Linked DNA regions of Oryctolagus cuniculus. The protein of the gene in region 2 interacts with the protein of the main gene of each other region in a pairwise test. Links are inferred from orthologs where the notes say so. Each region holds a gene or a part of one and is shown on either strand. Other genes may lie near its edges. The genes, in order: GFAP, SH3YL1 and SH3D19.

Region 1 (4,136 bases), on a different chromosome or scaffold from region 2:
TCTGCTTGTCCCGAATGCCCCAATGCCACTTCGCCATGACATCTCTCCCGGGTCCCACACTGCCTCGAAACACTGCGCTGTGGTCTCTGTGGGGTCATATTTGGGTCCACATCCCATCTCCCCGCCAGGCTCCTCTGTGTACCCCAGGAGGCTCCTGGCATTGCGGTGAATGCTCAGGAACTCGGGACACTGGCAGGAGAATGCAGCTCCTGAGTGGCCTGGCATGCCCCAATGTTGGCTGACAGTAGTAACAGCAGCAATAATAACGTGAGTACTTTTGGAGTAATTGTGCCCGTGTCACCCTAGGCAAGTTATCTCGCTTCTCTGATGAAGGCCAGTCACCCAGAGGGCACATCCACCCAGATTCCTCTACCCTCCTTGCTTCATTCTCTTGAACAGAACAAGGAGGGCTGCCTGGAGGAGGCAAGCCGGCTTCCGGCTACCTTGGAGCGGTACCACTCCTCGGCCTCGTGCATGTTGCTGGACGCCACTGCCTCGTACTGCGTGCGGATCTCTCTCAGGGCTGCTGTGAGGTCGGGCTTGGCCACATCCAGCTCCACGTGCACCTGCTGTTGGGCCAGCTGCTCCTGGAGTTCCCGCACCTCCTGGCCAGGGGGAGAGAAGGGGTCCCCGGCTCAGCGCCCGGGCTGCGGCTGGGGTTCTGCACAGCATCGCACCCGCTTCTGCCTGTCTCTCAGCCGTGGGTGTTGGCCAGGGGAAACCGGGCAGCCCTTGTGGGAGGAGGTGGCCCAGCTGAGGCTAGGGATGTCCCTGAGGGTCGCCAGGTCCCCTGGGGCCAAGGATTCTGATGCGCGGCTCTGAGGTCAGCGTGCAGAGGGATTTTTTTTTTCTTTAAATACATGATGGCTCTCATTCTCCCGGAGACAGAGGCAGAGGGACTGACCGTGTGACCCTGGCATGTTCTTTAGCCCCTTGGGTCCCACTGTGCTCGGTGAAAAGTAGATGGTTCTGGAAGGGCCCTGTGTCGTGGGGCTGTGCGGGCCTGTTCTCAGAAAGGGAGTGCGGCCGTGTACAGAGGCTGGCGTCGAGCGCTCTCTCGCGCTTACTCCTGCTTTTTTACAACTGCTTCCCTCCTCCTCTGTCTGTCTCCCAGCCGCAGGCCCATGTTGGACCCCTCCCACCGCCCGTCCTCACTCCCCCGCCGCCCGTCCTCACCTCCTCGTGGACCTTCCTCAGGAACTGGATCTCCTCCTCCAGGGACTCAATCTTCCTCTCCAGATCCAGGCGGGCCAGGGTGGCTTCATCCGCCTCCTGGAGAGTGGAGGGGGCAAAGGGCCACTCTGACCCCAGACTCCTCTTCCCTATTGCCCGGCTTTGCCTCGCCCCTCCTCCTGGGATGGGGGAACAGCACATGGTTCTGGGGGCTGGGCTGGGCTGGGGGCTGTGTTTTGGATGGGCTGCCCCGCCCCTCCCCTCCCCCTCTGATGCCCCTCCCCTCGCCTCCCCTCCCCCCTCTGACCTGTCTGTAGGTGGTCAGGTTGTTTTCAGCCTCCATCCTCAGCTCAGTCTCATCCTGGAGCCTGGGGTGGGGGTGGGGGAGACAATTCCTGGGTCCAGGCTCTTCAGAGGACTCTTGGACCCCTGCCCCAACCTCCCTGGGGTGACTGGCTCAGAGACACCCCTCCCAGCCCCAGAGTGACAGGAGGAGGAAGGGCCACCCACGGCCTTTGCAGAGGCCTTGGCCCGGAGGGTGAGCAGCCAAGGGCTTTGGCTTTAACTCATTACTCAAGTGCCTTGCCAGGGTCGCTGCACCTGCTCCTGCTCACACAGGCGCGTCCACGAGCGTCTACCTGCTCCGCATGGGCAAACACATGCATCGCCCTGCCCTCGAGGGCACACCTGCCCTGCTGGCTCAGCAAGGCCCGTGCCCCTGGCCCTGGGGTTTCCTCCGAGCCCGGGGAACTGCCTTTGCAAATGGGTTTTCTGATGCTCTCTGCTTCCCAGCTGCGGGGGGGGGGGGGGGGCAGAGCAACTCCACTGGGGTCACTAGCCCGGGCCAGGGCAGTCACCTGTGCTTGGCACCTAGGCCTGCCCACTCTTTCCTGTCCCCCAGACCCAATCCTCCGCAGGGACCCCAGCTTCTCTTCCAGTTCCTTCTTTAGAGAGACCCCCCCCCGGGGGGGGTTAGAATAGATGAGCTCCACAACTGTGGTCCCAAGGCCCAGTGAAGGAACCACACAGTCCGGGCCCCTGGCTGCTGGCTCGGCTTCCCCAGTGGGGAGGTGCTGAGGGTCCCTGAGACCCTCCCATCGGGCTGGAGAGCAAAGGGAGGGGAATTGAGGGAGCAGTGGGGCAGAGCCCCATTGTCCTGGACTCTGCAGGCAGCAGCCGTTCCCTCCCCGCCTGCGGGCCCGGTCCCTGTGCCCAGTCCTCACTTCTGCCTCAGGGTGCCCAGGTCCTGCGCCAGATTGTCCCTCTCCACCTCCAGCCGGGTGCTGCTGGCCGTGAGCTGGTCGAGCCGCAGCCGCAGCTCCCGCAGCTCAGCCTGGTAGACGTCGGCCAGCTTGGTGGGCTCCTTGGCCCGCAGCTGGTTGAGCTCGGCGGCCAGCGCCTTGTTTTGCTGCTCCAGGAAGCGAACCTTCTCGATGTAGCTGGCAAAGCGGTCATTGAGCTCCATCATCTCGGCTCGCTCACTGGCCCGGGTCTCCTTGAAGCCGGCATTGAGTGCGCCGGCCAGCGAGAAGTCCACCCGGGCCGGGAGTGGAACAGATGTTCGGGCCAGGGAGAGGCGGGCGCCGGGCCCCAGGCGGCGCCCGGGCGCTGAGCCCCCCAGCACCATCTCGGCAGAGGAGGTGTAAGAGCGGCGAGCAACAGAGGCGATGCGTCTCCGCTCCATCCTGGCCCAGCTCTGCCGACTCCTGGGCTGCAGGCTTTATGGAGCCTTGGCTGGAGGGGCAACGCCCCCTGGCATAGCCTGAGAGGGTGGGGCTGGGCTGCAGCCCAGCCATGGGATGCGCTCCTCTCTCCCCACCGAGGGTGAGGGCGCTGCTTCCTGGCCGGGGCTGTGCTGCCTGGGCCTGAAGCCCTGACTTCTGAGCGGGGAGACCCTTTCTCTGGGAAGGTGGGTTAGGAAGGGGCAGGACCTGCTTTCCAGAGCTCTGAGCGCTCACCCAGGCCTCCATCCTAGAGGGCCTGCCTTAAATTTAATGAAGCACAGACGGGCCGTGCAGGCCAGGAAAAGCCCCAGCCCCAGCACGCACCTGGCATCCCCCATCTGAACACGGCCACCCCATGGTCCAGCCTTCTCCCTCTTCCTGGGATCGGCCTGCAGGCTTGGCCCCCCCCACCCCCGGCTCTTTGTCTGCAGTGTCTCATGGAGCAGGGGACGAGCGAGGGAGTGAGGGAGTGTGGCGGGCTGGCTGGGGCAGATGGGCAGCCCCTTTCCCGCGGTCTCGCCCGCCTCCCCTGGCCTCCCAGACAGCTCTACAAAGCAGTTACGAATGAGCTGGCTGGCCCGTGGGAAGCTCTGTTTCTGTTTCCCTGGCGGCCCTCACTCTCCCACTCGAGATTAATCTCCTTTGCGTTCCGAAGCTTCAGGCAGAGAAGACGGAAAAGGCATCCCAGGCTGGGTGGCTCTGGGGACCCAGAAGCCACTGGGGCATGCAGGGGGGCAAGGGGCTGGGGCCAGGACCCCGCTGTCCTTGAGCTTCAGGTCCATTCACCCCTCCACTCTGCTCGCACAGGGCCGGAGCCCGCCAGGCCCCTCGTCGTCTGTGTCCTGGGACTTCTGGGAAGCAGACTCCCCCCTGCAGCCTCCCCGCCACCCCTGCCCCTCTGGCCCGTCTTCCGGGCACTTGCTGAACAGAGCCTTGTTCTCTGGCGCCGGGGAGGGCGCTGCACGGCAAGGGCGGCCCCCAGGGGGCTGTGCTGCTTTTATCCCACGATGCCAGGCTGTCAGGCCGGGGCGGGGGGGGGTGCAGCACAGCCCCTTCTCAATGCACTTCTCGGAAAGCATCTGCGGGGACTTGGGGTGCAGCGGGGTGCAGGCCGGGTGCCCGCCCTGACCATTGTGTCTGTGCCAAGGTGAGTCACTCAGCGGGCAGGGAGGAAAGGCCCCACTTGCAGAAAAGCCTGGCTGCCCCCCCACCCCCGCAGCCCTCAGCACCAACTCAGTC
Region 2 (3,644 bases):
GCAGGCAGAGGATTAGCCTAGTGAGCCGCGGCGCCGGCCCAATGCACGTTTTTAAATGAGCAAAAGCTTGAACACATGCTTAGAACAAAATACAGAGGTAAGCACCAGGAAGGGTGTTTCCCTCCTCGCCCAGGAGATGAGAATGAAATCCACCCTGAGTTGCCACCACGGCAGAAACTGGCGTGGAAAGCCTGGCCTTGCAGAGAGCTGGCAAGGATGTGGAGTAACCAGATCTCCCAGAAGTTCTGGTTGGCCTGTGATAGGCAGTCACTTCAGGTAGCTCCTGGTGGCTTTTGATACCAGTGCACTTACACGTCCAGGAACCAGCCATCCTAGCCTGGAGACCTCCCCCGGAGACAAAACAGTGATGCACAGAAGATTTTATGGGAATGTTTGCAGAATTTCTTCACGATAGCCAAAAACTAGAAGCTGCCAGTTGTCCATCGGGTGGCTCAGCTCACCCTGTGTGTGGAGGACGCTCAGCACAGGCACAGCAAGCCGGATGGAGAAGAATCAGTTTCCTTGTATTCCTGTGAAATCCTGGCACAGACAAAACCAACACAGGTGACAGACACCAGATCCATAGCTGGTGAGGCCGGGGTGGCTGCACAGGGGCCCAAAAGAAACAGTTTTGCTGGGGGAGGGGCCTGTGTCAGGTACTTGTCCCAGCTTGTGGGGTGTGCACTGCGTGAAACAGGTGAATTGCATTTTGTAAATTATGTCTCGTGAAGTTGATCATAAAAGTCTACCCTGAGAGCCAATATTTTAACTTCCCTGAAAGAAAGTTGAGTAAAATCTGTGAAGTGCCAATACACTAGTGGTGTAACCTAGACAGGAAAGGAACACTGTGTACTCTGCAGGCACCCGGCATTTGTGCAAATGAGCGCCTGTGCCCTGGCCAGCACCCTCGCGGATTTGTGGGATCCATTCTCTGGGGGCCTGAGTCCTGCCGATGCTCCCGTGTTGAACCACAGAGAATTGATGCAGAATTCTTCTTTTTAAAAAACCACACAATTCCAATATGACCCTTGTCCAGTTTCTACTTTTAAAATAAATCACCTATTTCAAACATAGCAAGCTCCAAAATGCATCATGTTTTCCTGTTAGAAATCCCATTCTTTCCTGTGTGCTGCAGTTGTTCAGGCTTCTCAGCCCAACTTCCTTCAGCACCTGCCCAGGTGACACTTCCCGTCCGGAGGCCTGCGTGCTCCTCTGACTGCAGACCTGAGCCGGGGCTCCTCTGACCCCCTGTCCAGTGTGCCTCAGAGCTGCCAGCCTTGTGCCAGCCTTGTGCCAGCATCGCACTGAGGTGATTCAGCGTAGGTGGGCAGCACTGGGAATGCACACTGCCCCCGGACTGCAGGCGGCCGTTACTTGCAGTAAACGATGCCTGAGTGCGCTAAGCAGGTGACCTGCAGCCAGTCCAAACACGTGCAATGAGAGTAAGCAGCCATATTGAACCCTGTTTTATCTGTAATAGATAACTGTAAAAAAGCATCTTCTGTTACGTTTAAAGCTTTAATCTTTTTAACTTGCTCTTCAGGTGAATTAATGACAGGGAGAAGAAAGACTGGGGCAGTTGTGTCAGATTTTGTTTAAAATCTTTCACAATCCCAGGATTTTGTGACTTCTGAGATTTCTAAGACTTTAGGGTTTCTGAGCCTCAGAATAGATTTGGAAAGTAGGGGTGAAATTGTCAGTAGCTGAGGACTTTCTAGTTCATTTCCTTTACTTGGTAAAATACAATTTGTTAGTGATTATTATGTGTGAGAAAATATAGTTACAATAAATTTCTAACTTCTGCTTAGTGGATTTTTTATTAAAATGTGTTTTTTTTTTCATCTTTCAGTGAATAATCCCATTCCTTCCAATTTGAAATCAGAAGCAAAGAAGGCTGCTAAAATACTAAGAGAATTCACAGAAATAACTTCCAGAAATGGACCCGATAAGATCATTCCTGGTAGGTAAATTTCCGAGCGTGTCTGGATTTCTGAATCGCTCCCTTCCTTCCCTCAGCCTCACTCCTAGCTGGCAGCTGACCCCAGGGACAGCAGGGGTTCCCAGAGGCCTCTTCTCTCTCCTGGGGTGGGGCAGCTGGGACTCGCCCCTCCACCCGGACCCCCATTCCTGCTTCACCTTGGCCTCCCTGCGGAGAGCTTTACAAGCAAATCTTCAACCTCGCCAGCTCGTCTCATACATAAGTGTTCATTTTTGTTTTCTCCTTCCAAGTAAGATATTTACATTTCTACAGTGGTTTAGAGGAGATTAGTCAAGAATTCCCAGCACAGCTGCACCTCTGAAATCTTCAGGTCCTTAGAACACAGTCCCAGAACCCATTCCAAACCTGAGGGTGGGACTCAGAGCCCTGTGACCAGGGATGCAAGTTGTAACCAGGTGCTCCAGTGCTGGTGACAGCGGGGTGGTCCACACAGCCTGGCCTTGGGTGCTGGTGACAGCGGGGCTGGTCCACACAGCCTGGCCTTGGGTGCTGGTGACAGCAGGGTGGTCCACACAGCCTGGCCTTGGGTGCTGGTGACCAGCGGGGTGGTCCACACAGCCTGGCCTTGGGTGCTGGTGACAGCGGGGTGGTCCACACAGCCTGGCCTTGGGTGCTGGTGACAGCGGGGTGGTCCACACAGCCTGGCCTTGGGTGCTGGTGACAGCGGGGTGGTCCACACAGCCTGGCCTTGGGTGCTGGTGACAGCGGGGTGGTCCACACAGCCTGGCCTTGGGTGCTGGTGACCAGCGGGGTGGTCCACACAGCCTGGCCTTGGGTGCTGGTGACAGCGAGGTGGTCCACACAGCCTGGCCTTGGGTGCTGGTGACCAGCAGGGTGGTCCACACAGCCTGGTCTTGGGTGCTGGTGACCAGCAGGGTAGTCCACACAGCCTGGCCTTGGGTGCTGGTGACCAGCAGGGTAGTCCACACAGCCTGGCCCAGAGTGCGGCTTTGGAACTGCCTCTGCAGGCCGTGTTTCATAGAGTGCACCTCTCATGCAGATTACCTTGGGCAGTGTCACGGGCTAATTTCCCTCTTGGGTAATCACAGTGCGTGACTTAAAGAGATCTCTTAAGTTGTCCCGGTCGGGATCTCTGAAGTTGTTTTTCAGAGCTTCACAAGATCTTAATGCTTTGTGGACGCCCGGGTCTGAGTTGCAGTGACGAGAGCAGCAGCTATGGTTCCGTGGGCCCAGCCAGCTCCCCCGTCTGAGCAGCGCTTCCTGGGGCTTCTGCTCCAGTGCAGGGGGCGCCTCCCTGGCAGCCTCTGCCTTTCCCTCAGGGTCCCCGTGAGCCGCACGCACCCAGCACTTGAGAGGCACAGATTTGGAGCCTGAAGAAAATTCAGCCAGAATTTAGCAGTTTTCTGAAACAGGGATTAGTGCGTCAGGAACCGTCTGCATGTTGGCCTTGCAGCCTCAGACACGTGCTGTTTTGTAACATGAGAAAATGGCTGCACTCGTGGATTTTGTGGAGCCAAATTCTACTTTGCCTTCCTGTGCCCAGCAAAGGCCCCTGCACTCCCTTCCGGGGCTCACACCTCACAGTCTGGGGCACAGGATGGGGGCGGGAGCCCCAGGGCTGCCAGGTCGGGGAGGGGCCTCACGTACAGTACACTGCAGGAGATGGACGGGTGACAGCAGACCA
Region 3 (3,644 bases), on a different chromosome or scaffold from region 2:
AAGAGGGGCAACCGGGACAGAATCCGGCGCCCCGACCGGGACTAGAACCCGGTGTGCCGGCGCCGCAAGGCGGAGGATTAGCATAGTGAGCTGCGGCGCCAGCCCCAAACTTATAGGTTTTAAGGAATAAGACATTAGAAAAATTTTTTGAAGAATCTACTAATAGCTTTTCATTTGGTACAGAGCATAGGAAATGTATTTATAACAGTATTATACAATCATTATAGTACTTTATAATAGAAATGACATTTTAGTATAAAAACTAAAAGAATATTGTCACAATAAAGGGAAACTCCATCATAGAACAGGAACATCGTACGCTGACCTATCTCAGTAAGCCTCCTCTGACTCCCTCAAAAGCCTGCACCTACCCAGTACCTCCGTGTTTTCTTTTCTTTTTTTTTTTTTTACAGCCAAGTAAGAATCTTGTTAGTTCTATTTTAAGTCTTATCTTGTCCAAGCACTCTTAAGATTTTTTTAAAAAAATTTTATTCATTTATTTGGGAGGCAGAGAGACATACACAGAGAAACACAGAGACAGAGAGTGAGCTCCCATCTGCTGGTTTACTCTGCATACACGCAGGGCTGTGCTGGACAGAAGCCAGGAAACTGGATCCTGCTCTCAACTACTTGAGCTATCACTACTCTCTTCCATGGTTCACATTAGCAGGACACTCAGATTGGCAGGAGCAGAGCTGGGACTTGAACCTAAGCTCTCTGGTACAAGATGTGGGTGTCTTAACCTTTAGATCAAATGCCTGCCCCACCTCTGGTGCTTTTGTTCTTTCTACATCATACTTGCCTAGGACTGAATATCTTCATTGATGGAGAATTTACCAAGGTGTAACACAGGCTATACTCACAGCAGTAATTACGAAAACCACCCTTTCTCTTCCTCTAGCACAATCTCAAAGTACTACCCTACGTGCTTTTTTCTGACTACAGGCCGACTATGGACTGGGAAACAGAATCATAAGAATACTCTATTACTGCTTTAAGAAAAAATAAGAGGTACCTTGGTGAAGTAAGATTAACGTTAAATTTTAGGCTTCTTTAATAAAACAATGAAAACCTTTGCAAAGCAGCTCAATTGGTTGGGACCATTTCCCCAAAGCTCTGGTCAGGGCCTTTACAATCTCTAAAGATTGCCTTAGCAATCCGGTGTAGGCTGCTTAAGACTACAGCGGCAGATGGTTATCAGATGCCATTTGATTTCTCCACTGATTTCAAAGACAAGTTAGAGGCTCTGAGGGCCATCCTTACTAGGGCTACCACACAAACATGTTCATGTAAATAAGAGCTGACATTTTAAGGCCAAGGAGCAAGGAATTACCTTGGGGTTGTGGGTTCTGAAGCCAAGGTCTTCTTCAAGTATCTTAAAGCCCAGTTGATAATGTGCATTATCAACCTTATATACCCTATTCATTTTCTTTCATCTCTTCCCTTAAAATGCAGGGCTGAGATATCTTTATTCTTAGGTAATGATCAATATTCCACTGCAATGCCCTACCCTTCAATTAAAGACATTTCCAAGTTTACAGTGCTTAATATGGTTACATAAAGATTCAAGCTCTGACCTTGAAGGTGAGCTCATCTTCATTCTCTCCATGGAAATCATACAAGGCTTTGGCCTTCCTCCCCTTCAGTGCTTTAGCAGACGTACTTTTTGCCTCAGCTGTGAAGACACCAAAAATTCAAATATACAGAGACACAACAGATTAAACAAAAACCAAACATTTTACAAACCTCTCTTGTCACTCTTGGAATATGATATTTTGATTTAATTTTGAATTTATTTAACATGCAAAAAAGTGAAGGATGCTCTCTTTGTTGGAAAAAAATTATACAAAATATATTTAACAGACACAGTTAGCCACTGTTTAGTGAAGGCATTTCAATATTTTTCCACACCTCCAACAAAGGAGTATATGAATGAACTCTGCACAACTTTATGAGCCAATTCTTAGAACAACAGACACACTAGCACAGCCAGAGACAGGAATGTATGAGTTTCAAACACCCTGGCTGCTGTTTTAGAGTAAGAGCCGCGTCGTGTAGCTGTCATACCTGGGCAAGGCCGCACAAAGGCTGCTGGGAAGATGCCCTCTCTGTCATGCAGTCTGCCCCGGTACCAGTCGGAGTCCAGACGCTGCAGGAGCAGGATCCGGTCTCCCCTTTTGAAAGATAAGTCCTCACTGGTCTCCGCGGTAAAGCTGTGCAGAGCTTCACACCATTCTCCAGAGAGACTGTCGCCCTGGTACAAAGCACAGGTCTGGTAAGAAATGTGAGCTCTGGGACAGGCATTTGGGAAGAAACGAATCTTAGGACGAAAGAATCCCACACTGGAGGGCCTGGATTCCAGTTCCAGCTCTGCACCTGACTCCAGCTTCCTGCCAGCACACAACCCTGGTCGGCGGCAGCGATGTCTGCAGTAACTGGGTTCCTGCCACCCACACAGGAGGTTTGGACTGAATTCTCAGCTTCTGGTTTTGGCCTGGTCCAGTCCCAAATGTTGTGGGCATCTAGGAAATGAACTAGTGGATGAGGGCTCTGTTTGTATCCCTCTTCAAAAAACAAAACAAAACAAAACAAAACAAAACAAAACAAAACAAAAAAACAAAACAACAAAAAAAATTGAGTCCTACAAGGTCTAATGTGGGTGGGTGGGGGGCAGGTGCAGTGGCATAGCGGGTAAAGCTGCCTCCTGCAGTGCTGGCATCCAATATGGGCGCTGGTTCAAGATGCGGCTGCTTCACTTCTGATCCAGCTCTCTGCTATGGCCTGGGAAAACAGTGGAAGATGGCCCAAGTCCTTGGGCCCCTGTACCTACATGGGAGACCCATAAGAAGCTTCTGGCTTTGGATCGGTGCAGATCTGGCCGTTGTGACCATCTGAGGAGTGAACCAATGGATGGAAGATCTCTCTCTCTGTCTCTACCTTTCTCTCTCTCTAACTCTGTCTTTCAAATAAATAAATAAATAAATAAAATCTTTTAAAAAATGGTGGGAAAAAAAAGGTAAGGGGTCATAACAGATGGAAGACTTCTCTCTCTGTCTCTACCCCTCTCTCTCTCTCAACTGTCTTTCAAATAAATAAATACATAAATAAAACCTTTTAAAAAATGGTAGGAAAAAAAAGGTGAGGGGTCATAAGATTTCAAATCCTGAAGGCTTCTTCTTCTTTTTTTTTTTTTTTTAAGATTTATTTATTTGAAAGTCAGAGTTACACAGAGAGAGAAGGTGAGGCAGAGAGAGAGAGAGAGAGGTCTTCCACCCACTGGTTCACTCCCCAGATGGCCGCAATGGCCAGAGCCACGCCGATCCGAAGCCAGGAGCCAGGAGCTTCCTCTGGGTTTCACACAGGTGAAGGGGCCCAATGACTTGGGCCATCTACCACTGCTTTCCTAGGCCATAGCAGAGAGCTGGTTTGGAAGTGGAGCGGTTGGGACTTGAACTGGTGCCCATATGGGATGCCGGCACTGCTGCAGGTGGCGATTTTACTTACTATGCCACAGCGCTGGCCCGAAAGTCTTTTTTTTATTATTATTATTTGACAGAGTTATACAGTGAGAGAGACAGAGAAAGGTCTTCCTTCCATTGATTCACCCTCCAAATGGCCGCTGCGGCCAGCGCTGCACCAATCCG

What was found.
Region 1: the proteins of SH3YL1 (region 2) and GFAP interact in binary tests that used the Homo sapiens proteins (3 or more experiments, as listed by UniProt). The two-hybrid records come from large-scale screens. The link is inferred for Oryctolagus cuniculus from reciprocal best matches to the Homo sapiens genes SH3YL1 and GFAP.
Region 3: the proteins of SH3YL1 (region 2) and SH3D19 interact in binary tests that used the Homo sapiens proteins (3 or more experiments, as listed by UniProt). The link is inferred for Oryctolagus cuniculus from reciprocal best matches to the Homo sapiens genes SH3YL1 and SH3D19.

The regions. Positions count from the first base shown.
Region 1 is NC_091448.1:18,168,075-18,172,210, forward strand, and holds the start of GFAP (glial fibrillary acidic protein), read right to left. Parts: upstream 2,879-4,136; 5' UTR 2,858-2,878; coding exon 2,397-2,857; intron 1,542-2,396; coding exon 1,481-1,541; intron 1,273-1,480; coding exon 1,177-1,272; intron 606-1,176; coding exon 444-605; intron 1-443.
Region 2 is NC_091433.1:199,902,269-199,905,912, forward strand, and holds part of SH3YL1 (SH3 domain-containing YSC84-like protein 1), read left to right. Parts: intron 1-1,849; coding exon 1,850-1,960; intron 1,961-3,644.
Region 3 is NC_091439.1:13,490,925-13,494,568, reverse strand, and holds part of SH3D19 (SH3 domain-containing protein 19), read right to left. Parts: intron 2,255-3,644; coding exon 2,068-2,254; intron 1,676-2,067; coding exon 1,578-1,675; intron 1-1,577. UniProt on the Homo sapiens protein: May play a role in regulating A disintegrin and metalloproteases (ADAMs) in the signaling of EGFR-ligand shedding. May be involved in suppression of Ras-induced cellular transformation and Ras-mediated activation of ELK1.